Linked DNA regions of Macaca mulatta. The protein of the gene in region 1 interacts with the protein of each later gene in a pairwise test. Links are inferred from orthologs where the notes say so. Each region holds a gene or a part of one and is shown on either strand. Other genes may lie near its edges.

Evidence for each region.
Region 2: the proteins of REL (region 1) and ASAP3 interact in binary tests that used the Homo sapiens proteins (3 or more experiments, as listed by UniProt). The two-hybrid records come from large-scale screens. The link is inferred for Macaca mulatta from reciprocal best matches to the Homo sapiens genes REL and ASAP3.
Region 3: the proteins of REL (region 1) and LENG1 interact in binary tests that used the Homo sapiens proteins (3 or more experiments, as listed by UniProt). The link is inferred for Macaca mulatta from reciprocal best matches to the Homo sapiens genes REL and LENG1.
Region 4: the proteins of REL (region 1) and PRKAB2 interact in binary tests that used the Homo sapiens proteins (3 or more experiments, as listed by UniProt). The link is inferred for Macaca mulatta from reciprocal best matches to the Homo sapiens genes REL and PRKAB2.
Region 5: the proteins of REL (region 1) and EIF5A2 interact in binary tests that used the Homo sapiens proteins (3 or more experiments, as listed by UniProt). The two-hybrid records come from large-scale screens. The link is inferred for Macaca mulatta from reciprocal best matches to the Homo sapiens genes REL and EIF5A2.
Region 6: the proteins of REL (region 1) and CEP19 interact in binary tests that used the Homo sapiens proteins (3 or more experiments, as listed by UniProt). The two-hybrid records come from large-scale screens. The link is inferred for Macaca mulatta from reciprocal best matches to the Homo sapiens genes REL and CEP19.
Region 7: the proteins of REL (region 1) and EFHC1 interact in binary tests that used the Homo sapiens proteins (3 or more experiments, as listed by UniProt). The two-hybrid records come from large-scale screens. The link is inferred for Macaca mulatta from reciprocal best matches to the Homo sapiens genes REL and EFHC1.

Annotation. Positions count from the first base shown.
Region 1 is NC_133418.1:63,901,032-63,905,280, forward strand, and holds the start of REL (proto-oncogene c-Rel), read right to left. Parts: upstream 2,801-4,249; 5' UTR 2,493-2,800; coding exon 2,483-2,492; intron 2,333-2,482; exon of another isoform or gene 1-2,332. UniProt on the Homo sapiens protein: Proto-oncogene that may play a role in differentiation and lymphopoiesis.
Region 2 is NC_133406.1:217,566,509-217,570,008, reverse strand, and holds part of ASAP3 (arf-GAP with SH3 domain, ANK repeat and PH domain-containing protein 3), read right to left. Parts: intron 2,617-3,500; coding exon 2,568-2,616; intron 2,479-2,567; coding exon 2,288-2,478; intron 2,203-2,287; coding exon 2,069-2,202; intron 1,813-2,068; coding exon 1,718-1,812; intron 1,163-1,717; coding exon 985-1,162; intron 1-984. UniProt on the Homo sapiens protein: Promotes cell proliferation.
Region 3 is NC_133424.1:66,391,288-66,395,558, reverse strand, and holds the start of LENG1 (leukocyte receptor cluster member 1), read left to right. Parts: upstream 1-1,471; 5' UTR 1,472-1,494; coding exon 1,495-1,626; intron 1,627-2,740; coding exon 2,741-2,920; intron 2,921-4,180; coding exon 4,181-4,271. Other genes in the region: voltage-gated chloride channel TMC4, read left to right, coding at 1-89, 186-341, 647-725, 818-886.
Region 4 is NC_133406.1:118,946,444-118,950,599, forward strand, and holds the start of PRKAB2 (5'-AMP-activated protein kinase subunit beta-2), read left to right. Parts: upstream 1-1,356; 5' UTR 1,357-1,492; intron 1,493-2,660; exon of another isoform or gene 2,661-2,706; intron 2,707-2,966; 5' UTR 2,967-2,989; coding exon 2,990-3,145; intron 3,146-4,156. UniProt on the Homo sapiens protein: Non-catalytic subunit of AMP-activated protein kinase (AMPK), an energy sensor protein kinase that plays a key role in regulating cellular energy metabolism.
Region 5 is NC_133407.1:82,589,699-82,593,646, reverse strand, and holds the start of EIF5A2 (eukaryotic translation initiation factor 5A-2), read left to right. Parts: upstream 1-1,148; 5' UTR 1,149-1,230; intron 1,231-1,913; 5' UTR 1,914-1,948; coding exon 1,949-2,113; intron 2,114-2,657; coding exon 2,658-2,762; intron 2,763-3,948. UniProt on the Homo sapiens protein: Translation factor that promotes translation elongation and termination, particularly upon ribosome stalling at specific amino acid sequence contexts.
Region 6 is NC_133407.1:2,250,604-2,254,819, reverse strand, and holds the start of CEP19 (centrosomal protein of 19 kDa), read left to right. Parts: upstream 1-1,416; 5' UTR 1,417-1,458; exon of another isoform or gene 1,459-1,578; intron 1,579-1,696; exon of another isoform or gene 1,697-1,985; coding exon of another isoform or gene 1,986-2,010; intron 2,011-4,216. Other genes in the region: PIGX (GPI alpha-1,4-mannosyltransferase I, stabilizing subunit precursor), read right to left, coding at 1,305-1,416. UniProt on the Homo sapiens protein: Required for ciliation. Recruits the RABL2B GTPase to the ciliary base to initiate ciliation.
Region 7 is NC_133409.1:129,832,990-129,836,489, reverse strand, and holds part of EFHC1 (EF-hand domain-containing protein 1), read left to right. Parts: intron 1-1,911; coding exon 1,912-2,052; intron 2,053-3,500. UniProt on the Homo sapiens protein: Microtubule inner protein (MIP) part of the dynein-decorated doublet microtubules (DMTs) in cilia axoneme, which is required for motile cilia beating.

The DNA.
Region 1 (4,249 bases):
TTGCTTGTAAGATTATGATTTATGTTACTTTTACATCATGGCTATCACATAATCAACACTTATACCTATTTACATATGACATCTGGTGAGAAATGAAGAAATGCTCTTAAATGCTTTGTAATGAATAAAAGTACTTTTTGAGGTTTTAATACTACCTTACTACAAAGAGAATCTAAACTAGACAACGAAAAACTAAGCAATTTCTTTTTCTTTTTTTTTTGTGTGTGTCACTTTTCTGGTTAAATTGCTGTTTCAAAACAGAATAGGAATTTAGAATTTCATTACTGAATCTTTTTCTATCTCTAAGGTCTTTATAACAGATTAAGGAAAAGTACACAGATTCCTTTAAACATTTTCTTTTTTTTTTTTTTTTAATTCCAGGCTTGGCAGTTTTCTAACAACTGAATTACAATTTAAATAACTTGCTACATTTTAAATAGTGCCATTTTAATGCAACTCTTGAGAAAAGACCAAAAAAACAAAAAGTTAATCACCCTTCAACTTCTAAACCTTTAAAATTTTCTATTTCTTTAAACATTTCCTCCTTACTTTTAGGGAATCCTTCCTCCTCACAACAGCACAAAATACAGTGTCAATGAACAAATTTAAATTGTATTACATTTTAAAATCCTGTGGGTCTTAACAATACTCTATACAGAAATGGTTGTTTCCTCTCTCATTTGAAAAAATTGTAAGTATTACATTTATGCAATACATCAATAAAGTTTGATTAAATCGCCAAGAGGCTGAACTTAACTTACAATGCTAGGCATTCTTCATTACTTCCAAACAAAATCTTTCTGATAACCAATAAATTAACAAAACATTTGAAGTCATCTTAGCACTTCTAATCTACACATGCTTTGAATTCACAAATTTACAGGATTATCTGAAAGTCTGGTGTCACTTAAGTGGGAAAAGGGAAAGCTGAAATATTTTAAACTTCACTTAGTATTCTCACAACCACAGACAAACTGAAATCAAATGTCATGTGAAACACCCCAATTTCCTTTTCTGCCTACAGCAGTAGCTATGGCATTGTTCTGCTCAACCTTTTAGAAAGGTTCTTTAAACTTCCTACTTCCTCATCTCCACTAGACATCAACCAACTTCTGAGGGTCACTGGACCAGGCAGTTTTGGGATGCGAGTCAAGTTCATAAACGGTGCCCCGTCTTCACTCTCTTAGGTACAGCATTTAACATATGCATTTAGCCCTCCCTGCCTTTGCTCACGCTGCTTCCTCTGTCTGGAAAGCGCCCCCCACTCACCTTGGCAAAATCCTGGTAAAAGACCAACTCGAACCCAGGCTACTTAATTTCTCCCACCACCCCGGCTCTCCCGTCCCCCCAACCTTGAGCTCCAGGCACCCCGAAACCACGTCTGTGCATACAGGAGGCTCTTCCCTGCTCTGCAATGTTTCTTATAAATTTATTTCCCCCCAAAGGGAGAGATCGAGCATTTATTAAGGGAAAATATACAGTCAAATAAGTGATAAAGTTGTATTCACTACTACCCATTATTTTAAAGCACGGATATTCTAAAACTCCTCTTTCCCCTTATTTCCAGCGGGAAGGAAGGGGGATTCAACGTCTCTATTCGTCAGATTAGAAACTGTGTGCTTTATCTCACAGTAAAAATTACACACTCTATTTTTTTTTTTTTTAATAGAGACAGGGTCTCTGTCGCCCATGCTGGAGAGAAGGGGCGCGATCTTGGCTCACTGCAACCTCCACCTCGCCCAGGTTCGAGCGATTCTCCTGCCTCAGCCTTCCGAGTAGCTGGGATTACAGGCGTGCGCCACCACGCCAGACTAATTTTTGTATTTTCAGTAGAAACGGAGTTTCAAAATGTTCGCCAGGCTGGTCTCGAACTTCCGACCTCAGATGACCCGCCCGCCTCGGCCTCCCAAAGTGCTGGGATTACAGGCGTGAGCCACCGCGCCCGGCCTACACCTGGTCGATGCAACATTAACACTTAAAATACCACGGATTTTTAAATTCGTGTTAAAATACCACGAATGATTTTTAAAGCCGTGCAGCATTTTGTACAACTGTCAGTACAAGGGGGATCACCTCTTTGCATTTGACGAAATTAAAAAGGGGGAGAGAGCTTGCCCGAGGTTTGAAGGTTCCTCATTCTTGTTCTAAAACATAAAACCACCACTTCAATACATATCCATTTTTAACATGAGAACTCCTCGTCCTCCTTTAGTTCGCTTATGACTTCCCTAATCCTAAAATCAAGTCATTAGGAATTTATAAGTTTCCTGCTATGACAACAGGATCAAATTACAGACCGCGGCTTGGATTTTGCACGCAAGCCCTGAAACAGGTAACTTTTTTAAAAGCTGACAATTTTACCATATGAGATTTTAAAGACAGAACGCGCCCCAGCCAAAACTGAGCTCCCTAAACTCACAGCGGCAGGACCCCAAGAAAAGCTCCTTCCCCCCGGCCCAGGTCCCCGACCCGGAACACTCACCGGAGGCCATGGCTCCGTTCCCCGCACCTTCCCGCAGGCAGTTCCCGGCGTCCTGGCCAGAGGCGGCCGTGGTCAGTCAGTCAGTCAGTCAGGAGGCCGAGGGACCTCTGCCGGCGGGGCCCCCAGTCCCCCGACCACCCCAGGGTCCTCCTCCTTCTTCCCGCCCTCCGCTGGGTTTGCGGCTCACACCTTCCCACCCCCTGAATTCTTGCGCTCCGGGTCACCAGCGTCGCCCGTCCACCGTGCGGGAGCCAGGGGCAGGGGGCGCAGCAGGGCGAGAGCCGAGTGCCGGCCAGGCCGAGAGGCTGGCAGCCTGGCGGGAGGGGAATTTCCCGCGGCTGACGTAGGCCCGGCGCAGCCTTCAAGCCGGAGGCGTGGGGCGGGGCGTCCTAGCTGCCGTCGCGCGCGCGACCGCCCCCAGCGCCCCGCCCTGCCCGCCCCCGCTCACGCTCACCGTCCGCCCCGGCGCGTACGCCCCCGGCGCTGCTGCGGCGGCGGGCTTGGGAGGGGGTCGAGGGAGCGGGAGCTTGGGGTGGGCTTCGGGAGCACAGGGAACGGCGGCAGCCGGGAGGTCGCAGCGTGAGAAGGCCGCCGGCTCCCGCGAAATCCCCCTCCTCCAGGTTGTTCTTCCGAGTGTGGTTTAAAGTTCAGGAGCGGGCGGGGGGGTGCGGATGACGTAGAGAGGGCCGGCCGCCCGGGAGCTTTTAGGGGCGCGCCGGGCGGCCGAGCGGGGCCGACCCTCCAGGCCGGGGAGGGCGACGCCCGGGGTTTTCGAGAGGTGGTTCCCCCTCTTCCCGACTTCGCGCATGCAAATCTCCACCCCCGCGCCAGCGCGGAGGGGGAAGTGCGGCTGCGGCAGAGCCTGTCTTCTTCTATAATTCCTCTATTTGCATACGGGGACCCCCCCACCCGGCTGATTTTTTCCTCTTTCTATCTAAATTGCGAGGGTACTGTGAACTTTACGTCTTTTACCTACTGAAACCCGTTTAAACTCAAAAGGTCCGCACATCCAGGTCGTTGTCTCATTACGCAGTGCGCTGAAGTTTAGTGGACACTGTATCCTGAGATTTCACACAGATACCAAGAAAGGGGGAAATGGAGCAAACATTTAGTGCATTAAAGGACCTAGGATAACTTCGTTTCCTTCATTTGAATAGTACCTGCTATGCGTCAGATAATGTCTATACCTAATCTATGACGTATTTATTATTCCTAATTGTATAGATGAAGTATTCGGGGTTCAGAGAAGTTACTTCAATATACAGCACTTCCAAATGCTGGTAAGAAAAGGCACAGTTTAAAAAAGCCAGGGTTGTCTGACTCCAAAGCTCCATACCCTTGCCCCATCCCTTACTAGTTAAAATAAGTACGGAGAGGGAATGGGGAGTATCAGCCTGCCATACAAGTGCCCAAAACTGGGGGACCCAGGTGGGCAAATAATTAAAAATATCCCGCCAACTCCAAAGTATTCTTTCCACGAAATGCACAATGTACAACAAAAGAATGAAACAGTTTTATTATTGGATACGTACTAAAACATACCATGATGCACATCACAGGCAATCCGCTGAAGAGGGTGCAAAGACCAAAAAAAAAAGAAACCTAATCCTTTCATATGGTCAGGCACATACAATCCATTATATACCTGTTAATTGTCTTTATCCAAAGGAAAATAATGGAAAGTTGTATCTTGGAGCCAAGAGCCAAGGCTTAAACCCCCGTAGAGACAGAGACGTGGAGCACCATCCTTGTTCGCTTTCCAAGAGA
Region 2 (3,500 bases), on another chromosome or scaffold:
CCTCTGCCCCCAACAGGTGTTACCCAAACTTCTTTCTCGACTCTGGGCTCCTCTCCCTGATTGTACTTCCCCACCAAGACCTCAGCAACCTCACGTTTTCAATTATCACACACGTATAGGCTGTTCCAAATTCTTACCTCACCTAAATGCTGCACTGCTCATTGGATAGCCCACCAAGATATCAGACAGACAGTTCAAAGATACCCGTTTTTAGTTTTTCTGAGATAGGGTCTCGCTTTGTCACCCAAGCTGGAGGGCAGTGGCGCAGTCACAGCTCTCTGTAGCCTCAACCTCCTGGGCTCAAGTCACCCTCCCACCTCAGCCTTCTGAGTAGCTGGGACCACAGATGTGTGCCACCATACCCAGCTAATGTTAGTTGTTGTTGTTGTAGAGATGGGGGTTTCCTTATTTTGCCCAAGCTGATTCTGAACTCCTGGGCTCAAGTGATCCTTTCACTTCGGCTTCCCAAAGTGTTGGGATTACAGTGCGTGAGCCATTGCACCCAGCCAACATCCAATTTTTGATGTCCAATCAGTCAGCAACTCCTGTTGATTTACTTTTTCAAATGTCTCTGATATCCTTTCCCCATGCTCATGTGTTTGTTCTTGGAATAGCCAAAGCAATGTGGTCTTCCTGGCTCTAAACTGACCTGCCCTTACATTTCAGGGCTACTTAGGTGAAAGAAAAAGATATGAACATTTATTGCATACCCATTGTACACTAAGCCCTTTATATACATGACTTAATTCTCACTTCATCACCATGGGTGCTATTATTAACCCCTTTTATAGATGAGGAAATGAGACTCAGAGAAGTAACCTGCACTAGATCACACAGCTGGGAAAAAACAGCAAGGATTCCCACCCAGGTCTGCTTAACTGAAGCTGTGCTCCTTCCCACTTACCACTCTGATGGGTGAGATTTGAGCAGATGTCAGAGTGTGAGGCAGGTGGGTTATAAGTGGCCCTTGGAGGGGGTTCTCACCTGTGCATCAGGCCCTGGCAGCGGCTGTCCAAAGTCTTGCCCATTGGCAAAGGCCTCCAGTACCGACAGGAGGTCCCTGTTGCAAATGGCTGTCCAGAGTCTCCGAGGCTCAGGTGTGCACCGGCGTGCAAACCTGTGCTCCACATACTTGGCCACGATGTAGTCCCTGCGGGTGCCCCTACCAAAGACAACCACAGGATCTCAGAGCACGGACCGTGTCTGTCCAGCTGATCCCTGGGGCCCTCCCACAGGAGATACAGCTCTCCTTTTTTCCAGAACCATGTCCTGAAGATGTCCAGATCTGAGGCTCCCCTTCCCCAGCTCCTCAGGCTTTTTTTTTTTTTTTTTTTTTTTGAGACAGAGTCTCACTCTATCACCCAGGCTGGAGTGCAGTGGCGCAATCTCAGCTCACTGCAACCTCTGCCTCCAGGGTTCAAGCAATTCTCGTGCCTCAGCCTCCTGACTAGGTGGAACTACAGGCATGTGCCACCACGCCCAGCTAATTTTTGTATTTTGAGTACTGGCGGGGTTTTGCCATGTTAGCCGGGCTGGTCTTGAACGCCTGACCTCAAGTGATCCGCCCGCCTTGGCCTCCCAAAGTGTTAGGATTACAGGCGTGAGTCACTGCGCCCAGCCTCCCCAGACTTCTGATCTAAGACCTTTCTGCGACCCTGGGAGCTGCGGAGGCAGAATCCCGTAGGCAGGACGCCCCTCTCTCTGAGAATCCCCTTACATGTCACTTTCAGGTGAGGGTTTAGGGCCGCCATGTGAGGGTAGCTGGGCCTCCATGACCTCATTGAAGCTCATGTTTCCCATGTTCAAGGCCAGCTGGAGTCGTGGGAAAATAGGGGTGGGGCAGAGTAAGACCGGGTGGTTAGGCCTGCACGGGGTGGAGCTCCGAGTCCCCAGAGTCCCGCCCCTCGGGCGCCCTCCCGGTTCAGGCCCCGCCCCTGACCACCAGCTACCTGGCTTGTCCCCGCCCACCTTGGCCAGGTCCCACCCACAACCTGCAAGTCTCGCTGCCGGATGAAACTACACCCCTATCTCCGTGTCTGGCCCCTTCCGGGCCCCGCCCCGCCCTCACCAACAACTCCGAGGGGCCCAGCAGGTCCAAGGTGAGTGACTGCATGCGCGAGAAGCGCACGCCCAGTTCGCGGTGGACGCCCGAGCACTGGATGCAGGTGAGCACGCCCAGGTTGGTGCTGAGCCACGTGGGGTCTGCAGAGGAAAGCAGCTGGAGCCTGGAGGTGCAGCCCCTCCCCTCTACTTCCCCCTCCCTCCAGCCCAGGCCCCGAGGCTTGACCTGCAGCCCCGCAGTCGCAGCACTGGCTATTCCCAGGCCTGCTCTTCACCTCCGCGATGAGCAGCTTTGTGAGGTCATGGGGCTCCCCGTCATGCCCGGCGGCCCCCCAGGACCCCAGGCCACCGCTGGGCTCCCCAAGGAAGGCGCTGCTCAGGGCTTCGTCCTTGCTGTTCTGCAGCACTGACACCCACCTGCGGAGATTGAGCGGGGTGGGACGGGGATGTCAGGCGGGAAGAGATAGGGCTACCGCCCCAACCCACAAGGCTGGCCGGGCACTCACGCCTCACACTCGTGCTCGTCCTCTGCCTGGAAGTGGTACGTCCGGTTGTCTGTCGGGAGAGAAGGGGGCTTCTGGCCCACAGAAATGCTGCTGGCCTTCCCGAAGCCCAGGGAGCCCCCGCCAAAAGCCGCTGGGCCACATGGAGATGTGTCCCTGCCAAGTTGGACTCTCAAGCTAGGAGTGGGAAGGGAGCGGAATGACAGTGGCCGACAGCAGGGGCAGTTTCTCAGAAGTGGCCTCCGAAGTAGGATCCCAACAAAGCTCTCTCTGCATGAAGCCCTGGTTCCAGGCTCAGATGAGGTCTCCCAGGGCATAGAACCCCAGAGAACCCAGCTCAGAGGCAGGGCATCCTCTGAACCAACTGTCACCATCCCACTGGGCTCCTCCTGGTCTCCTCCAGGGCGACCAGGCTACCTGTCTGGTCTCCCTGCTTCCCATTTCCTCTTTTCTCCAGCCTGTACCAGCTCCCAACTGTTGTGCCCAAGGCTCTGCTCTAACTACACCACTGCCCTACTGCCCTGCTCCAAGATCTCCCATGGCTCCCTATTGCCAGGAAATAAGGTCCAAACTTTTAAGAGGGATTTCCAGGCCTCATCTCTCACTCTGCTACATGAACCCTCCACTCTGGCCAAACTGGGCGGCCCCACTCTCCTGCTTCCATGCCTTTCATCATGCTAATCCTGTCTCCTCAAAAGCCCCCACCCCACAAACTCTTCATTCTACATGTCCTTCAAGGCTAAATTCAAATACTCTCTCCTCCAAGAGCCTTTCCTGGTTCCCCACAGCAGTGCAGGCCTTCCTGCTCCCTAATCTCCTATGGGGCTATATCTGCACCCATCTTCTGGACAGCCCCCTCATCTTACAGTCCTGGGTACCCACCCCACACCCCTGCCAGAGAGCTTCCTGAGGACAAGATCTAGGTCTTTCTCAGCC
Region 3 (4,271 bases), on another chromosome or scaffold:
CGGGCCTCCACGGCGAATTTCTTTTTCCCCTTGGTTCTTCTCCTGGGTCTGGCCATCTCCAGCGTTCCCCTGCTTTACAGCATCTTCCTGTAAGTGCGAGAGGTTCCCGCCTCTCTCCCTCCCTCTCCCCCCATTCAGTGTTCAGACTCCTGGCTCTACTTGAACCCAGCCTGTCTTGACTTCAGGATCCCGCCTTCTAAGCCGTGTGGTCCATTCCGGGGGCAGTCGTCCATCTGGGCCCAGATCCCTGAGTCTATTTCCAGCCTCCCTGAGACCACCCAGAACTTCCTCTTCTTCCTGGGGACCCAGGCTTTTGCTGCGCCCCTTCTGCTGATCTCCAGGTGAGGTGGACCAGACTTCTGGGTCTGGGTTTGAATGCGTGTGATCTGGGGGCCACCACCTGCGTCCAAGAGAGGAAAGGCTTGGGGGTGGGAGCAGGCAATGTACTGAGTCTGAGGGAGGAGGCCTAGGCTCCTGGACTGCTGGGTCCGAAGGAGGAGGTGGGCGGGACTTAGGACTCCTGGATCTGAACGCGGAGGTGCTGGGAGACTGAACTCCTTGAGCCTGGACGAGGAGGGACTTAGGGGTCCACATCCCTGACTTCGAAGAGCGTGTCAGGAGTGGCTTCCGTTCCTGTCTCCTCCAGCATCCTGATGGCGTACACTGTGGCTCGGGCTAACTCCTACGGACGCCTCATCTCTGAGCTCAAACGTCAGAGGGAGACGGTGAGCCAGGCGGGTCCCTGAGAGGGCCCCCGGGGAACACGGAGAGGGGCTGGGGAAGAGGGCTGTCACACCTCCACCTCTCTTTGCCGCAGGAGGCGCAGAATAAAGTCTTCCTGGCACGGCGCGCTGTGGCGCTGACCTCCACCGAACCGGCTCTTTGACCCCCGCAGCTCACGCCCCACTTTCAGACCCCAGGCCCATTGTAAGCCTAGGTCACAACATCTGTAAACTAGGAGAACTGGAGAAGACTCCACGCCCTTCCAGCTTTGATATCTGGAGATTTCCAGGGCCCCTCGCCGCCACGTCCCTGACTCTCGGGTGATCTTTCTTGTATCAATAAATACAGCCGAGGTTGCTGAGCGCGCTTTGAAATCTGCGTCCTGAAGGTGGGGGCAGGGCTACCGCAGGGCAGGAGCCAATCAAATGTATGGGCATGTTTGTCGGTGCGGAGCGCACTTCCGCAAGGAGACTTGACGGTCATGTCGACCAATCGACGGCCGCATGTGGTAGCATCGGGGCGGGCCAACTTATGATTGGTTCAGATCTGTGATAAGAGGCGGTTGCTAGGGGATACCACGAGCCGAACGCCTAACATTCGCTGTGAAAAGGACGTCTCAGCCAATCACCTGTCGTTACAGGCCAGGGGGCCGTACCAACTAATTCGGAACCAATCTGCGGTCGAAGTAGGGACAAGAGGAAGGGGGGCATCCTCTCGCCAATCGGAAGTGCAAAGAGGCGGGCGTGCCAGTCCCTGGACAGCTACGACGCCATGAATATCTTGCCCAAGAAGAGCTGGCACGTCCGGAATAAGGACAATGTCGCCCGCGTGCGGCGTGACGAGGCCCAGGCCCGGGAGGAGGAGAAGGAGCGTGAGCGGAGGGCGCTGCTGGCTCAGCAAGAGGTAAGCTCGGAGGCCGGCCGGGCTGACCGCCGGAGCCCAGCGCGCACGCGCCGCGGTTGGGGGCCGGAAGCGGAGGCGTTGCGCAGGCTCAGTGTGCCCCGTGTGAAATTCGGGACCAGGCGCCGATCCCGTTTTCGAGGACGTTGCTCTGCAAACCTTGTGGCCACTTCCACGAAACCTCCCTTGATCTCGCCTTCGTCTTAGTTTCCCCCCACTGATGTATTTCACATGGCTGGAACAGTGTCTAGCACAAAAGAGCAGCTTAAAAACATTTAATGAATACATGAGCGCTTGGACAGTTCAAGGAAATTCGGATCACGTTTTAGTTTGCCTGCGCAGTTTATTTATTGAGCACCTATTGTATGCTAACTACATGCAGAGCGCCTGACTTGCGGAATCCCCAGGAGGCACTGTTCGTTCTTAGAGGGGCACTGTCATCTCCGTTGCACGGAGTGAGATGGCTTCAGTGAGGGGAAGGCACATTTAAGGAGAGGGGGACAGCCAGGCTCCACGCCATCGGGCGAGCCCTTTCCTGCACCGCCCCCTAGACACATACACACAAACACGGGCTTTCTGTATGGCTCCTTAAATCTGTTTGGTGTACACCCAACTTTCAGTTCCTTAGCTAGTCTGATCCTCCACAGTGGGTGGGAGGTAGTCTGGGTTTTTAGAATCTCAGTAGGCTGCTGAGCGCTGTTTGAAATCTGCGTCCCGAAGGCGGGGGACAGGGCTTCAGCAGTCGACTTGGGGTAGTGACTTGGAGCCATGGCTAGAATTCAGATCGTCTGGCCTAATGCAGTTTGGTCTACCTTTATGGCTGTTTTAATTGTCTCACTTGAGGTTAGGAACCCCTTTGGTTTAGGCCAGGGACCTCCTTCCAGCCATCCTTGATGACCCGTGGTTTACGATTTGAAAGGCAGTTTACAAAACCCAGGCGTTGCCTCATCTGCCTACCCTCACCCGCAGCTAGGACAGGTGCCTCTTTTAGGCGTCTAGTGCTCCCTTTCTTATAACCCCAGCACCCTGGACTGCCATTTTCTGTGGTGGGCACCAGACTCACAGTTCTTGAATCACCTCTAGGTTCTGAATGCCCTGCCTATAACTTTCTCCCCAGGCCCGTACAGAATTCCTACGAAAGAAAGCCAGACATCAGAACTCACTGCCTGAGCTTGAAGCAGCAGAGGCGGGAGCCCCAAGTTCTGGCCCTGTGGACCTGTTTCGGGAGCTGCTGGAGGAAGGGAAAGGAGTGATCAGAGGCAATAAAGAGTACGAGGAAGAAAAGCGACAGGAGAAAGTAAGCTGGCCTCACCCACTTCATTAGAGGAGCCATGAATCGAGTTGGGGGGAGAGGGCACTTTAGCCACTGCTTGTGATCAAGGTCAAACGAGAACGAACACACAGAATTTAGAACCATACCAAAGCATGACACTTAAGAAGTGTTGCCATCTGGGCACCCACAGGGCTTGGAGGTAGATGCTAGAGGTCCCCAGCTGCTAGGCAAACTGCTCAGTTCTCAAAACTGGAGGGGTCTGAAACCTTGATAGGCTTTTAAAAATGTAAATCAGCCAGCTGTGGCTCATGCCTGTAATCCCAGCACTTTGGGAGGCTGAGGCGGGTGGATCACCTGAGGTCAGGAGTTCAAGACCAGCCTGGTCAACATGGTATCTCTAAAAATACAAAAAAATAAGCCAAGTGTGGTGGTGCACGCCTGTAATCCAGCTACTTGGAGGCTGAAGCAGGAGAATCGCTTGACCTGGGAGGTGGAAGTTGCAGTGAGCTGAGATTGCGCCACTGCACTCCAGCCCAGGTGACAGAGCGAGACCCCATCTCAAAAAAAAAAAGAGAAAAAAAAAAAAAGGCGAATCATTCGCCTCTTGCCTTTTGGCTAAGATCAAGTGTAAAAAGTATGTCTGGTCGTGCATGGTGGCTCACACCTGTAATCCCAGCACATTGGGAGGCCAAGGTGGATGGATCACCTGAGGTCAGGAGTTCAAGACCAGCCTGGCCAAACATGGCAAAACCCCGTCTGTACTAAAAATACAAAAATTAGCCGGGCATGGTGGTGCGTGCCTGTAATCCCAGCTACTAGGGGGGCTGAGGCAGGAGGATTGCTTGAACCTGGGAGGCAGAGGTTGCAGTGAGCCGAGATGGTGCCACTACACTCGAGCCTGGGCAACAGAGCGAGACTGCATCTCAAAAAAAAACAGGTACATGAGCTCTTGTCACTCACCTGCTGTCTCTGGACTTGCTGACCCCACCCATGGCTCCTCTGCTTTGCTTGATCCCTTCAGGCTTCTCTTCAAGTCTCTCTGCAAAGATGCCTGCCTCTGAACACTCAAGTGGCTCCACTTGTCCCCTCCTTCCCCTGCTGTTACCTGCCACTGTCCCCCCACGGGGAACTTGGCCTCTGTTGGTGTCTTCCATCCCCAGCACCTGGTACAACTGGTTCATGACAAGCCTTAGGTACCTGTTTGCTTAGATTCCTATGTCAGGGAGACACACCTGACACCTTGAAAGATTATATCCCATCTCTTGTATTTCCTGGCCCCCTCAGGAGAGGCAAGAGAAAGCTCTGGGCATCCTGACGTACCTGGGCCAGAGTGCAGCGGAGGCACAGACTCAACCCCCTTGGTACCAGCTACCCC
Region 4 (4,156 bases), on another chromosome or scaffold:
CCTTTAGAAAGAAGAGCATTGGGGCCGGGCGCGGTGGCTCACGCCTGTAATCCCAGCACTTTGGGAGGCCGAGGCGGGCGGATCACAAGGTCAGGAGATCGAGACCACGGTGAAACCCCGTCTCTACTAAAAATACAAAAAATTAGCCGGGCGCGGTTGTGGGCGCCTGTAGTCCCAGCTACTCGGGAGGCTGAGGCAGGAGAATGGCGTGAACCCGGGAGGCGGAGCTTACAGTGAGCCGAGATCGCGCCACTGCACTCCAGCCTGGGCTGGGCGACAGAGGGAGACTCCGTCTCAAAAAAAAAAAAAAAAAAAGAAAGAAGAGCATTGGGGTGACAGCAATAAATCTAAAGGGAACAATTATACTGATACTGGTTAAGAAGATCTTGTATCTTTACCTACTTATTCCTGAATCTAAGAAAAAAAAAGGAATTTGGGACTAAGGAGAATTCATTCTTCCTACAGTGTCATATTACATTTGTTCTGTGTCTAAAACATGCAATATTCAAAATTGACTTTTATTATTAACTGTTGAGTAACTTACAAATGTTGTTAGAGCAGAGCAGGGCAGAACAGTGTCATGGATAATCTTCCAAAGGAGATAATACAAAAGTCATTTCCATTTAGCTGTGTAAAAACAGTTTATTTCTCTCCTTCAGTTTTCCATTGGCTAACATAGTTAGTTTGTTTCTGCTAAGCTGATTTCACTACTGCAAGGAAATACATACCAAGGACATATTATTTGGCATGGTGAAACCACCTTGGGGTCAGAAAACTGAATACTACACAAGTCAAGGTTTAATGTATCACACCTTGAAGGGCCTTGCTTCAGTGTCCTATGGTAAGGAATTGAGGGGTGGAGGGAGAAAGGTAGGGATAACCAAAAAGAATGTACTCAGACAGTAAAGATTTCAGAGGGGTGAGCAAGAAGTTGCAGTAAAATCGTACCTTTTTTTTTTCCTTCCTGTAAACTGTCTTCGGTTTATGAGCCAAAGAATGAGTTTATAAGGGGCAGAGCAAAGAATGGGGGAGTAGTGAATTTGTTGTACTTAAGTGGGCTGTCAACTTCATAATATAAAAATGAACTTTTCAACAAATAGAGCTGCTCACTCAGAAAGGGTGGCCTATGTAACTTGGGGTTCTCCATCATTGGCCGTGTTTAAGCCTAAGTGGCATATCTTGATAGAAATGGATTACAGTAAACAGTATTCCTGTATCCTTCATTCCGCAAATACAAAAGCCTGCTCTGTACAAGGTACATGCAGAATATGAAAAGGTATCAAATCTGGATCTGCTCTCTGCCAGCTGTCAAAGCATTGCTTCTCACACACGTTAATGTGATCTTGTTAAAATGCAGATTCTGAACCCTGGGGATGGGGCCTGATTCTACATTTCTAACAGGCTCCCAGGTGATGCCAACGCTGCTGGTCTGTGTAACACAGATAAACGTTTCTAGTAGAGAAGGCGACATGCAAATACTTCTAATACAAAGGTAAGTACCTTAGGGATTCCACTAATTTTCATAAAAAACCTGGATCCCTCCCAACCCTACGACTGTCTTTGCCTTTTTTATACCTTTAGGGTTCCTTCTGATGTTTTCGTTGTCGCCATCTTCCTTGAATTTTATTTCTTCTGAGGTTTCTCACTGCATATGCTGTTTCTTAGACTAGGAAAGCCTTTTCGTTATTCTCCTAAGACTAACATTTTACTAATTTGTCAAGGTCTAGCTCCTAAATACGCCATCTTGAATTTTCCCTGCGACCCCAGTCGGGCTGACAGCTCCTTCCTTGTCGCTCCCTATTGAGCAGGTTTTTCTTGTGGGGGGGGGGCGGGGAGGCGGAGGGACGGAGTGTCGCTCGGTCGCCAGGCTGGAGTGCAGTGGCGCGATCTCGGCTCACTGCAACCTCCACCTCCCGGGTTCAAGCTATTCTCCTGCCTCATCCTCCCCAGTAGCTGAGACTTCCGGCGCGCGCCACCACGCCCAGCTAATTTTTGTACTTTTAGTAGAGACCAGGTTTCAACTTGTTGGCCAGGATGGTCTTGATCTCCTGATCTCGTGATCCGCTCGCCTAGGCCTCCCAAAGTGCCGGGATTACAGGCGTGAGCCACCGCGCCCGGCCAGAACAGTTTTAACCTCCAGCAATGGCCATTGCTTCCTTCTGCCTGCAGTTGGAAGTCAGTTTCAGTTTTCTTATTCCCTGTAAGGAACCCCCCTCTCCCGTCGCCTAACACACAGATGCTGCCCAGAAAACGTGCTGGCGCACCTGAGGCGGGGTAGAAAGCCGCGTCGCTTCTCCCGGCACCGAGCGCCGGAGCCCAGGGAGGCGGCCTCCGAGTGTCCTGTGGGAACGTCCCTTCCGCCGGGTAGTCTCAGAGGCCCAGCGCTCCAATTATCCCGGGTGCAGTCTCCCCAGGCGGCACAAGCCCTGCCTGGCGCCCCCTCCTGGCGCTGGAGGCTGCGTGCGACTGCCCACCATCGAGGCGGCGGCGGCTAGAGAGGCCGGCGGGCCCGGGACGCCGAGGCTGCAGGCCGCAGGGAACGCGCACGGGGCCGACTCCGCGCCGCCGGCCTTGTAGCCATTTTAGGAGGAATCGCTGATCGCCAGCGAGGGGTGCGGCTTCAATTTCAATAACTTTATTGGTGGCCTGATCTGCAGAACAGTCATCACTTCAGTGGTCCCTGGAGGAGGGAGCGCATCGCCCGAGGTGACTGGCGTGGGGGCGCCCCTGGCAGTGAGCGCGGGGACGCGGGGGAGTCCCGATAGCGGGTTTCCTGACTAGGGGCAGCGAGGGCACCGGGGTATTTGCAGGCATTCCCGCAGGCCAGGAGGGAGAAGGCTCCGGGGCTTGGCCTCCCTGGGGCGGGGAAATCCCTTGCCCCGTCCCAAGGCGTATGGGCGGGGCCGGGGGGCGCCCCTGACGCGGCTACTGAGGTGTTCCCAGCCCGGTGTGGTTCTCCGCGGTAGGTGGTCCCCGACGAGCTGCAGCCATGGGAAACACCACCAGCGACCGGGTGTCCGGGGAGCGCCACGGTGCCAAGGCTGCACGCTCCGAGGGCGCAGGCGGTCATGCCCCGGGGAAGGAGCACAAGATCATGGTGGGCAGTACGGACGACCCCAGCGTGTTCAGCCTCCCCGACTCCAAGGTAAGCGTCCCACGCCCGCAGTTGGTGGCAGTACTGCAGCGGGTTGATTTCCGGGCTCCTCTTCCCTTTCTTGGTTCTTTTCTGCCGCGCCGAACCGGGCTATGGTTTTTTGAATTAAAAGGATTTTTCGGGGACAGAGGTGTTGGATGGTAATCCCTCTTGCAGTGCCGCCTCAAAATAGGATAAAGAGGCGGAGTTCTTGTTTTCCTGGTGTTCTGACTAATCTGTTGGCCACATTTTTAGGATGGGGACAATAGACATCCCCGATCCTTGGTTCTTCCTAACATGCACGAGTGGCTCTCCTCTATAGCGTTGCTGAATTTGTAGTTTGTTAGCCCTGGTGGACAACTTCAGAGGGTAGGTTGCACGAGTTGCTGACCATAGGTGGTAGTTTCTCACCTTTGCCCTGAGGTGGCTACATGAAATTCTTTTTCTGAAAATTTCTATGTATCAGTATCATTTTTGCCCTTCTAGCAGCTCTGCACTTGTGATCTTCTTCCCTTTTGGCACGGCTGTAAGCAGCAACTACTTGCTTATTGAATACTTTCCCCTAGTCTTGGGGATCAATTAAGGACATCATTTGGTTGACTGCTTAATTTTTGTCCCATACTTTATAGTTGTGGTGGCTGAGGCTGTGCCTCTTTCACGCCCCGCTGCTGCTCCGCAGGTGGAAGAGCCAATGATTCCACGACTTGTTTACTCTCCAGTAGTACTTCAAAATGTTGCGTGGCTAAAAAGCGACAATCCATAGCTGCCTTGAAGACCTTGCTCTCAATTCCAAGGACTTTCAGGAAGAGCCAACTTGTTTTTTCACTCTGTAAGAAAGGACAGATGGAGCTGATAGCAGCGATTACCATTCTAATGTTTCTAATCGCTTTTAGAGCTGTCAGCATGAAATACATGTAGTTTCTCCAGGTAGACTGACTGGATGAGATAGAAAAATGGAGGGCTTGAGGAGATTGGGGTGTGTTTGATGTTTCCTATCATTTCGTCACTTCCCAGGGAACTGGG
Region 5 (3,948 bases), on another chromosome or scaffold:
TGCAAAAGTTAAATTGGACATGTTTGAAAGATATGTGAAAACTGTAGAGGCACATAGGAATGTGAGGTATGGGATTATTCATGAGACAGCAATAGGAAATCAAAGTACCACATAAATGCGGGTGTGGAACGGGAAATAATTTCCTAGGTCACCTCCCCAAGAGGATACTGTGGTGAGTTGTGAAATGAAACTGTGAAGGGGGAGTACATCTCTTTTAAGAACCTTTCTATTGCAGTCTACAAGCTCTAGATCAATTTTGAAGACCATCTAAGCGTTCTAATGTGGCACAGTTAAACCCCAAACTCTAAGGAATGCCAATGCCAGGAGGAAAGAAGGCATGAGGTGGCAGAACACCTCTCTGGACCCACAATGCCGTAGAAGTCAGACACCCTTCGCCTCCACAACTTCACAACAGCCTTTGCTGTGAGAAGTGGATTAATTCATTTCACTGCTGGCTTGTTAGCTGGCGGATGCTTCAGGAGTTCCTACCCGGGGGAGCAGCGCTGACTCTACAGGGGCACCCCGCGCCAGTCGCTGCCAAAATTCTCACCAAGGGGTGAATGGGGTCCTCAGGACCCGCGGTGCCGAGCTAGGTATTAAAATACCGCACCTGAGTTCTTCTTCAAGGACCAGGAGGCGGTTCGAACCCCAAGAAAGGCTGCAAGCTGAACCAGAAGCTCAAACCTAAAGTTCGCTTCACAGCCAGCCACACTGGCACTCGCTGAATCGGCGCGCCTCGCGAGTTCTGACAATTGTCATGTGATAACTGCCACGCACCTGATGGCAGAGGCCACTGGATGCCTTGCTTGGTTCCCATTAAAGTCGACTGCGACCCCAACGCAACAAACCTAAGAGTTGGAAGGCGCAAGTTCCTCCGCCAGCGAGCTCACCCTCGGCAATCAGACTGCTGAAAGTGCGCTCCACGCCGGAAGTGCACTAATCCGCAGCACGTGGGGTTGCCAGGGCGCTCTTCACGTGACTGGGCGGAGCCTCAGGAATCTGGTAGCCAATGGTAGCCCGAGAGGGCGGTGCCTGTGACGCTCCGGGGCCTATCCCGGAAATGGGGCTGAGGTGGGGGCGGGTAAGGGCGGGGAGGCTGGGGTGTGGAAAGTGTGGCGGCCCCGCCCCGTCTCTTGGAACTGCCGCGGCCGCCACCGCCGCCGCCGGCGCCGCAGCTGTAGGGGACCAGCGCGGGTACGCAGACGAAAGGCACTCTTTGCCAGCTGAAAGGTGAGGACCTGGGGAAAAGCTGGTGGGGATGGGGCCAGAGCGAGGCAGGGCCGGGGAAGGCGTCCAGAGCCAAGCGCTGACCGAGGGAAGGAAGGAGAATGGATGGGGGAACAGAGGCGAGCGCGGGACCGCCGGGGCTCAGGCCCTGGTGGGGCCGGGCCGAGCTGAGCCGAGGATGCCGGCAGAACAGGGGGCGCCTATGCGGCCGCGGCGGCGGCGTTGAAGGGTGGACGGGGGGGTGCGCGCCAGCTAGCAGAGGGCCGGGTGCCGCCGGCCAGGTTCTGTTACCCCGCATCCTTCGCGGGGACGTGCGGCCTGGGCTGGATACCCCGCAGCAGGGTTCGGGGCGGCGGCCGAGTGCTGGGCGGCGCGGGAAGGTCGCCGGCTTCTGCGGTGGGGCGATGGGGGCCGCAACCTGCTGTTTCCAGCGCGGAGGAGCGCCCAGGGCGGGTGTCCCCACCCTCAGCGAGCTCTTCTGCGACTTCTCATCCCACCTCCCCAAGCAATAGCTGGAAAAGTTTGTAGAGGCCAGAGTTAGAAAGTGTCCACTAGTCTAGGGTGGGTGTTCCTTACATGCAGAAATAACAGGCCCGTGATGCTTGGCACATAACTTGTCCGAAATGAGACGTTTCCGTGCCTACATACCCGTTGTTGAAAAGCAAACACAAACTTTTTGTGTGTAGTTCCCACGGAAAAACTACCATCTCCCCAGCCCACCATGGCGGACGAAATTGATTTCACTACTGGAGATGCCGGGGCTTCCAGCACTTACCCTATGCAGTGTTCGGCCTTGCGCAAAAACGGCTTCGTGGTGCTCAAAGGACGACCATGCAAAATAGTGGAAATGTCAACTTCCAAAACTGGAAAGCATGGGCATGCCAAGGTAAGTGCCCTTGCAGATCAGGCTTTGGCTTTGGCGTTGGAACTTTGATCATTTGTGTTCCGTTACAGATCATGAGATTTCTATACTTAAAATTTTGTAATAAGCACTGTTTTTTCCTTCCCACAATTACTGGGTGATCAGTTATTACGTTGAATACTGAAAGGTAGCAGTCCCTTCTTGGGCCCTTAACAATGTTCATTAACTGGGAACTGAAACTTTCCTGAATCCTAGTGACTTAGAAGATCTATTCAGTTTACAGATAAGAAAACCTGTTCCAGCAATTCTAAGAAACCTACACTTTATTTTTCTTGTGTAATCTCATAATTGAATCACTGGACTATATTGGGTCTTGACATGTGATACTGTTTAGTTGTTTACTGCCTCCTAATTGTAAGACCACTACTTTTTTTTAAGTAAAATCAGATGACCTTGGAAGGCGGAGAAAAGGAATCTGTCGTAATCAGCGTTGGTATTGTGCTCTTGTGTGTGTAATGAGTGATATACTTGGCAGAGATTAAACAGGTTTCCTGTTCTCCTCTGTTAGGTTCACCTTGTTGGAATTGATATTTTCACGGGCAAAAAATATGAAGATATTTGTCCTTCTACTCACAACATGGATGTTCCAAATATTAAGAGAAATGATTATCAAGTAAGCACTGATTTTCTTTAGAATGTTGCTTGTTACTTCAAGGTGCAAATACTTTGTACTATCAGTAATAATTTGACAAAACCCAAGAGTAGTTTTGTAGGTTTTTCTAACCAATTATTAGGCACCACCTATCTTAGAAACTGGAGAAATAGTGATGTTTAACACTTGTACCTTTTCTAGGATTATTGCTAGTTTGCTATTTTTTTTCACATTCTTGCATTTTTTAAAAAGTCAAATACTTATTAGTGCTCCTCAGGCCAAGTGACTGCATATTGCAATTAAGTCCAATGTTTAGTAAAAGTACTATTCTCTCTGTTATTATATATTTCTTATTCTAATTTAAAACATCCCTCCTGGATGTTTTGTTTCTTTTCACTGATCAGACCTAAGACATTCAAGAAACTACTGAAATTCATGTTCCTACCAAGTTTTTGTATTAATGAATGTTAGTCAGAACCTGACATTCTTAAGTAGGGAAATAAGTTGAAAGCCATAAATATAAAGTACATGGTCACTGAGTATGGTGAAGAAAACACGAAAACTATGTAATTGGTTAAATTACGTTCAGTGACCATGTTGTGACCTTTTGCTAAATTATATATGTAAATTTCAAGTTTTAGTTCCAGCTATACATTTGGGTAGGTCATATTTAATGATAGCATTTTGTTGTTTGGAGTACTGATGATAACCAAATAATTGACCTTATAGGATGTGGAAGCTCAGATTACTCATAACTAAAGCTTTTCTTGAAAGTCTTCAGTTTCTACATCAAGCATATCATATATCAAACTCATTTCTGCTCATTTTACGTAGTAAAAACTACATAGTTGACACTGGTATTTGTTTTATCCAACTTAAACTGATTTTTTTCTGTACCCTTTATTGTATAAATTTTTTTAATGTTGCTATCAACTGCACTTATGCAATGATTTCCTTTTGCTGTTTGTCCACATGCAAACATACTTTTTTGTAGTTTTAATCTAGTAAACACTTCTATGTTTTCATTTTCCGACTTGTCATAAATGTTTTCTAGGTTGCTTTGAAGTCTTTGTAGAAATTTGAATTGTCTTGCAAGTGGGTTTTTTTAACCAGGTAGATCTGAGTTTGGATCTAGTTCTGTCACTTTCTAGTTGGATGATTTTGGACAAGTAATACAACCTTTCTGAGCCTGTCTTCTCATCTACAA
Region 6 (4,216 bases), on another chromosome or scaffold:
CGTCTCGGCCTCCCAAAGTGCTGGGATTACAGGCTTGAGCCACCGCACCCGGCCAATTGACTCCTTTTTACTTTTTTTCTTTTTGAGACAGAGCCTCCTTCTGTCACCCAGACTGGAGTGCAACGGCGCGATCTCAGCTCACTGCAACCTTGACCTCCCTAGTTCAAGCGATTCTCCTGCCTTAGCCTCCCGAGTAGCTGGGATTACAGGCCCACGCCATCAGGCCCGGCTAATTTTGACCCCTTTTTAATTATAAAATGCCAATGCTGGAAGCCTCTAGAGATGACCAAATCCAACTGTTTAAAAATTCTTCTGGCCGGGCATGGTGGTTCACGCCTGTAATCCCGGCACTTTGGGAGGCTGAGGAGGGTGGACCACCTGAGGTCAGGAGTTCAAGACCAGCCTGACCAATATGGCAAAACCCCGTCTCTACTAAAAATACAAAAAATTAGCTGGGCATGGTGGCGGGCGCCTGTAATAATCCCAGCTACTTGCGAGGTTGAGGCAGAAGAATTGCTTGAACTTGGGAGGCGGAGGTTGCAGTGAGCCGAGATCGCGCCATTGCACTCCAGCCTGGGCAAGTGAGACTCCATCTCAAAAAAAAAAAAAAAAGAAATTCTTGGCCTCATAATCCTTTGTTTAGATAAACTTGAAAACCCAGTATGTAAACACACAAGCAGAAATGCACTGATTGACACATACTCAATGGATCTAAATGGTACCAAGGATGACAGAAACATCCTCATTTTACAGATGCAGAAACTTGCCGGGTTTGTGCTTTCCTCCCGTCAAACCTTACCACTTTATTGTAATTATTCTCGCACTTGCCTGCCTCAGTAGTACAAGCAGTTTGCCAACTACTACTTGCACGAACAACTAGCAGTTTGCACGCAGTCCTATATTCGGTTTAGGCATTCTCAGGCCTCACAGGGCGCTAAGGCCTTGCTGGCCCCTTGGTGATCAGAAGCTTCGTGCAACCCAAGAGCGTCCCAAGACGCCTGACGGCTGACTTTCCTTCTCAGGACCTTAGTGACAGGGCGGCCAGTCCAGCCTGGGAACCGCAGGGCCCGAGCCCCACTCTCCGGAGACCCGGGATCCGCCGCAGAGCAAAGCGCACGGGAGCGCCGGGGGCGGGAGGAGGGCACGCGGCTCTAGCGTTTGACCTCCTCCGGCTGGCCCTGCTGATCTAAGTCCCGCGCCGGGTCCCCACATCCCCGCAACCCGCGGAGAGGCCGGGGAGCCGCGACCGCTCCCCACGCTCCGGCCCCCAAGCCCCGCCCGCATTCCGCAGCCCCGCCCCTTACCCGCGTCAGAGCGCGCGGCGCCGAGGACCGCGGGGGACCCGCGCGTGAGCCCGGTCGCCGCCCCGAGGAGCAGCCAGGCGACCGCCCGAACCGCCGCCACCCGAACCGCCAGGACGCCGGAGGCCGGACGCCCGAGAGGGGCGCGCGGGGCCAGGTGCGGACGCAGGAAGGGGCCTGGCTGCCCGCAGCTCCTACGGCGCGCTGCCCCAGATTTACCGGCCGGGACAGAGGGCTGGGTGCGCCCCTGGCGCCCGCGGTTCCCCGCGGCCTGTAGCCCCGGCCCCCACAGGTTCCCGCGCGGCGTGAGGCGGCCGTCCCGGCCCCGCCTTTCCCCTCTCCGCCCACCCGGGGGCGGGCGAGGAGCTGCGCACGCGCGGGGACGCGCGCCCGGCCTGTTGCTGTGGAAACGGCTCGGCCAGCGCCCCCCGGAATCCCTGCACGCCGGGGTGGGAACCGGTGGACCGTGCCCCCGGCCGGCCCCACCTCCGCTTCCCGGTGTTTGAGGGTTCGGGCCTCCGGCCGGGGAGTTCACCCCTCGGGCTCGTCAGTAGGGCTGTGGCTGTGGCCTCTTCCTGCAGCGCCAGGCTCCGCCCGGCCTCAAAGTCGGCTTAGGTGCTTTCCGTGCGCTGCGGTTGGGTGGAAAAACCCACTCCTGGGTGTTTAGACGTTGGCCTGCAGAAGATGTCATTTCTGTATTTCTCTAAGGGTAAGAAAGCCAGCCTTGCACTAGTGGAGACGTGAGTAGGGAGAGAATCGTCTACCGTTTGGCGACATCCGTACCCTTAGGTGCTGTGGGGCTTCCTAACAAGATTGTAGGCAGTTCCTGATCTCTGGAGAGAGGAGTATTCGTGTCCAGGAAGAATAATTGTATAAACGTGGCCTCCTTCTTCCTGAACAGAGTGGAATCTGTAAGCAGGCCAAGAGAGCACAGGCGGCTTGGAGTGGAATAGAGGGCTCTAGAGCTGGTGTCTCAAAGGGGAAACAATGTATGTCAAAAGATACTATCCAAAACTGAAAATAGCCGGGCAAGGTGGCTCACGCCTATAGTCCCAGCACTTTGGGCGAATCACCTGAGGTCAGGAGTTCGAGACTAGCCTGGCCAACATGGCGAAACCCCCTCGCTACTGAAAATACAATTAGCTGGGTGTGGTGGTAGGCACCTGTAATTCCAGCTACTTGGGAGGCTGAGGCACGAGAATCGCTTGAACCCGGGAGGTGGAGGTTGCAGTGAGCCGAGATCACACCACTGCACTGCAGCCTGGGCGACAGAGCGAGACTTGTTTCAAAAAAATAAAAACTGAAAATGGTAGTATAAGCATGTTTCTTAAGAAATGGAGAGAGAAATTTTGGAAGGCATGCTTTTTAAAATTCAATCCGGCTCCGTATGAAGAGGAGTAGGGCCAAGGGCTATAGTTTGTTGTTATAAGCCTTATAGAATTATTTTATATTCCAAATACAAACATTACTTCAACAAAAATTAAAGTTAAATTTTAAAAAGAGTCTAGTAAAAAAAACTACATTATTTGAGCACCAACTGCATACATCTTTGAGGAGTACAGCCATTGCGTCAGTGTGTGTAGTTTATATTGTGCCCAGTAGGTTCTAGTTTACTAACATCAAATTTTAGTTAGGTGAATTGGGAGTAGTATTCGTTGAAAAACAAAAAAAAAGCCGGGCGCGGTGGCTCACGCCTGTAATCCCAGCACTTTGGGAGGCCGAGGCGGGCGGATCACAAGGTCAGGAGATCGAGAACACGGTGAAACCCCGTCTCTACTAAAAATACAAAAAATTAGCCGGGCGCGGTTGTGGGCGCCTGTAGTCCCAGCTACTCGGGAGGCTGAGGCAGGAGAATGGCGTGAACCCGGGAGGCGGAGCTTGCAGTGAGCCGAGATCGCGCCACTGCACTCCAGCCTGGGCGACAGAGCCAGACTCCGTCTCAAAAAAAAAAAAAGGAAAAGAGAAGGAAAAGAAGGAGAAAATGGTGTGGGATCATTGCATCAGATTAGAGGTAGAGCACAGTAATTTTTTTAAGTTTTTTTTTTTTTAAAGAATAGGCTTATCACGCTTTGGAGAGGCTGTTGTGCAGTGGCACCATCTCAACTCACTGCAGCCTCAAACTCCTGGGTTCAAGCGATTCTCCCACCTTGGCCTTTGGAGTATCTGGGACTACAGGTGCATGCTGCCATGCCTGGCCAATTTTTAAATTTTTTGTAGAGACATGGTCATGGTCTCACTGTGTTGCCCAGGCTGGTCTCAAACTCCTGGCCTCAAGGGATCTTCCCTCCTTGGCCTCCCAAAGTGTTGGGATTACAGGCCTGAGCCACCATGCCTGCCTCCATCTTTTTGAGATGGAATCTTGCTCTGTCACGCAGGCTGGAATGCAGTGGTACCGTCTCGGCTCACTGTGACCTCCACCTCCCAGGTTCAAGTGAGTCTCCTGCCTCGGCCTCTCAAGTAGCTGGGATTACAGGCACCTGCCACTATGCCCAGCTAATTTTTGGATGTTTAGTAGGGACGTGGTTTCACCATGTTGGCCAGGCTGGTCTTGAACTCCTGACCTCAAGTGATCTGCCCACCTCAGCCTCCCAAAGTGCTGACTGGGGTGAGCCACTGTGCCTGGGCTTATACGTGATTAATTTTCTAAGAGTAAAAATTCTCATGTCCAACAATAAGTGTGAATAATATGATTTTAGTACATCCATAAAATACAATACTTAGCAGTCGTATAAAATGTTACATTGTAGTAAAACATTTAATGACAAAATAATAACATATGTTGTTAAATTTGAACTTCAGGAAATAGCTTGTACGACCATGTGTGAAACATACTTAAACTATATGCCTAGAAAAAAGACTGGACACAATTAAGGGTGATTATTTTCTATATGTTTCCCCTCTCCTTTGCCCCCAAG
Region 7 (3,500 bases), on another chromosome or scaffold:
TCAGGAATTAGTAAACATAAATGCAATAGCCAGATGTGTTTTCTCTCAGGCTGGCTCCATCTGGAGGCATACTGGTAGGGAAAAGAAAGAAATCAGAATTAGGAAAGCTAATCTGCTGTGGAGACGGCCCCTGAAAGCAGTATCTGAAGGTTGTGGTACTCTTGGGTTCTATGTATACTACTAGCTCAGTTGAAGATGTCCAGACAGAAACTGTGGTAAGTGGATCGTATGAGCGGGAGTATCTAGGAGTGATGATATCCATAGTCAGATGAGTGTTCATCTAGTTTACAACAGGACCCACCCAAGCAGTAGCTTGAAGTATGAGAAGCAAGATGCCAGGATACCATGCATACGGACTGATATTTAGGGAAGGTCTTTATTCCAGGCAGGGAAAGTGAGGTATATTCAGGAAAAACAGGTAGTCTGTTAAAATACAATAGGAATTTGAGAAGAAGGCCCAGAGGCTTTATAGCTACCTTCTTATTGCAAAATCCTCAACCCTCAGTGACCTCCCTACTGGCACCCGCAGCCCGGATGCTCTCATTGTGTGTTGTTGGTATAAGTGCAAAGCAAGTTCAGATACCACCACTTTGCAGTTTGTGCCTAGCCTCCAGAGAAAACTCAACTGCTTAGCACGTAGGCCATCAGCTCAGGGTTCCTCTGCCCATAGTAACCTGTAAATTCACTGAGTAGTGGTTTTGCAATTGAAGCAAATTAGGTCATTTTCCATCTGCTAAATCTACTAGTCATATTCTAGCCATGACTACCACATTAACTACAGTCCCAACAAGTGATTTTGGGGTCAGTGTTCCAAGTAGTACGCCGTGGACAAATTTAATAGTCCTTTGTGGTTGAAGAAATACTCTGTTATGGATGGTACTAGGGACTATATGGACTTACTTATTAAAGTGCCTGAAAATAATATATAAAAAGATTTTGTGGAGGTATATACAAGAGAAAATGTGTGCTACAAGCTGAATTTCCTGAGAAAGAATAGCAAAGAGGAGTCAGGAATAAATAACCCTGCTGATGTTTGCCTATCATTAGATGAGGAGGAGGAAGACTTAGTCTTTGACCTAAAGTTCTTAGGGAAATAAATCTTAGCATCCTACAGTGATGCTTCAGGCTCTTCATGGAGCCTAAATGAAACATACAAGCTCAACCTATATCTTCACGCAAACTCATTAAATAACCTTTGTATCTGAAAAATAATTTCCTAAATTGAACTTTTTCATGAAGAAAGGGGGTCCTGTGTGGAAAAGGGATCTGAGTTCTCAGAAAACTATAGCTGTCATCCTGTTCTGTGAGGCAGAAATTAAGAAATAAAAAGATTAGAAATATGGATGTAAGTAGGAGAAAAAGTAGCTTGAATCAAGTTCTTACCACCGTTCCCCTATCACACATACACTCACTCACTCTCTCTCTCTCTCACCCTCTCCCCCTCCCTCCCTCCCTTACTTCCTCCCTTCCCCCCATCCCTCTCTCTCTCTCTTACTTTGGGTGAACTGAGGAAACAGTTTCCAGGTCTGCTAGGGTGAGGTCCACATCCTAGAGCAAAGAAGTCATAGACAGAACCATGCTAGGATGACTACAGGGTCATTTGCATTGGGACTGGGGTGGGACTAGGTCCTGCTTTTGTAGTAAGGGGTCAGTTTACATCAGCAATAGTTTCTCTCTAGCCCTGAGAGTTACTTTAGAGCCTCATCACTTACTTCTGTGATCACTGAACATGATGCAAAATCCACAAAGAGGAAGGGGATAAGTTGTTTTTTCTGACTGTATTTGTTTATATAGAAAATATATTTGAATAAGTATTTTCTAGAGTTTTTTTCATTAAACTTATAGTTACCTTTAATGTAATTTTAACACAAGTAGCATTTGCCTTACGTCTTGCTTCCTATATATCTCCAGGAGTTGCCTCCTTATAATGGTTTTGGGCTAGTGGAAGATTCTGCTCAGAATTGCTTTGCTCTCATTCCAAAAGCTCCAAAAAAAGATGTTATTAAAATGCTGGTGAATGATAACAAGGTGCTTCGTTATTTGGCTGCACTGGTGAGGCTAATTTTTATATACTAAAGATTCTCTTCTATCTCAGTACTGTGTATGATTATTTTGTCTGTAAGCTATAGGTTAACAGCTGTCAGAGTTATGTGTTGACTCAACCAACCATTGTATCTAGTACCCAGCCTTCAGGGAGGTTGGATAGTATTAAGTATGGTGCCCCTGAGCTAAGACCTAGATCAAGTCCTATCTCTCCCAATAATCTTTCTTAGATCATTAATCTCTCACTCTTAACACCTCAAATGTTAACAGACCTTTTGCCTCTTTTATTAAGTAACTATGAAATTGCTTAATATTCAAACCATGTGTGTATCTATGTGGCTTTTTAGTATACTGTGATTTCCTTGAGGTTAGGGACCATGTCTTAGTAAGTTCTGCATTTACCTGTGATATCTTGCCTGATATCTTGAGAGGTTATGTGACTAATAGTTAAGAGCATGCAGTTGGAAATAGACATACACTCAAGTTCTGCATATCTCATTAATTAGCTGAATTGTATGAGATAAATTATTGATAGAAATTCAAAGTATAAAGTCTTTAAAATGGAAAAAAAATGTAGACTAGGAACCTAACCATTTTATTAGAAATATGGACATAAATAGCAGAAGTTGAAATAAGTTATATCTGGGAATAGGAATTAGGAGCTGGGGGTAGGAGGTGTCAGGTGACTTTTCAAACTACATACATGTATTTGAAAAGATACAAACTAAGGTAAAGACAACTGAATAATAGATTTTAGAAAATGATTGTACAAAGCTTTAAATAAAAAGGGAGTCCTGGCTAAAAACAAAAATTTTTAAGAAAACAACAAAACAGCAAAATGTAGGCCAACTAGAGCACTCTCCATAAGAATTCTGACCAACAAAGGTTTTGTAGTACTAGATTCTTTCAGTTACTGTTAAAATTCAAGCGCCTTGTCGAATTATGATATGGTAACTGTAACTCCTTAAGGGCAGGAATCATGTCTTTCTAGACTTTGTAGGTACTCATTAACTGCCCGTTCAGTAGGCAAAACAATTTATTTCTGCACACATTATCCATGAGTAAGGCAATACAATATTTTACCCATTTTATGTTTCAAAACTTAAGAAACAGAAAGGCTAGTTATCTTGTCCCAGATCCGGTGCTGCTTAGACGGGGGTAGGACTAGAACTCAGCCTTCTGGCTTTCAACCCAGTATTCTTTTGATGAAGAACTAGTTTAATACTTAGGATTAGAAAAGGGAAAGGAACTCATATGGGTTTGTAAACTGCAAAATTGTAAGCTTACCTTTGATACATGAAAAACCTGGAAAAATTAATACAAAGTTGATTACAAAAATGGCTCTGAATAGTGTTAGATATTGCTAACTAAGGAGAAAGGATAAATTTCTTTTGATTGCAGCCTTCTGTACTCACAAACAACCTGGTCAAACATGATATATCACAAAAAGTTAAAGT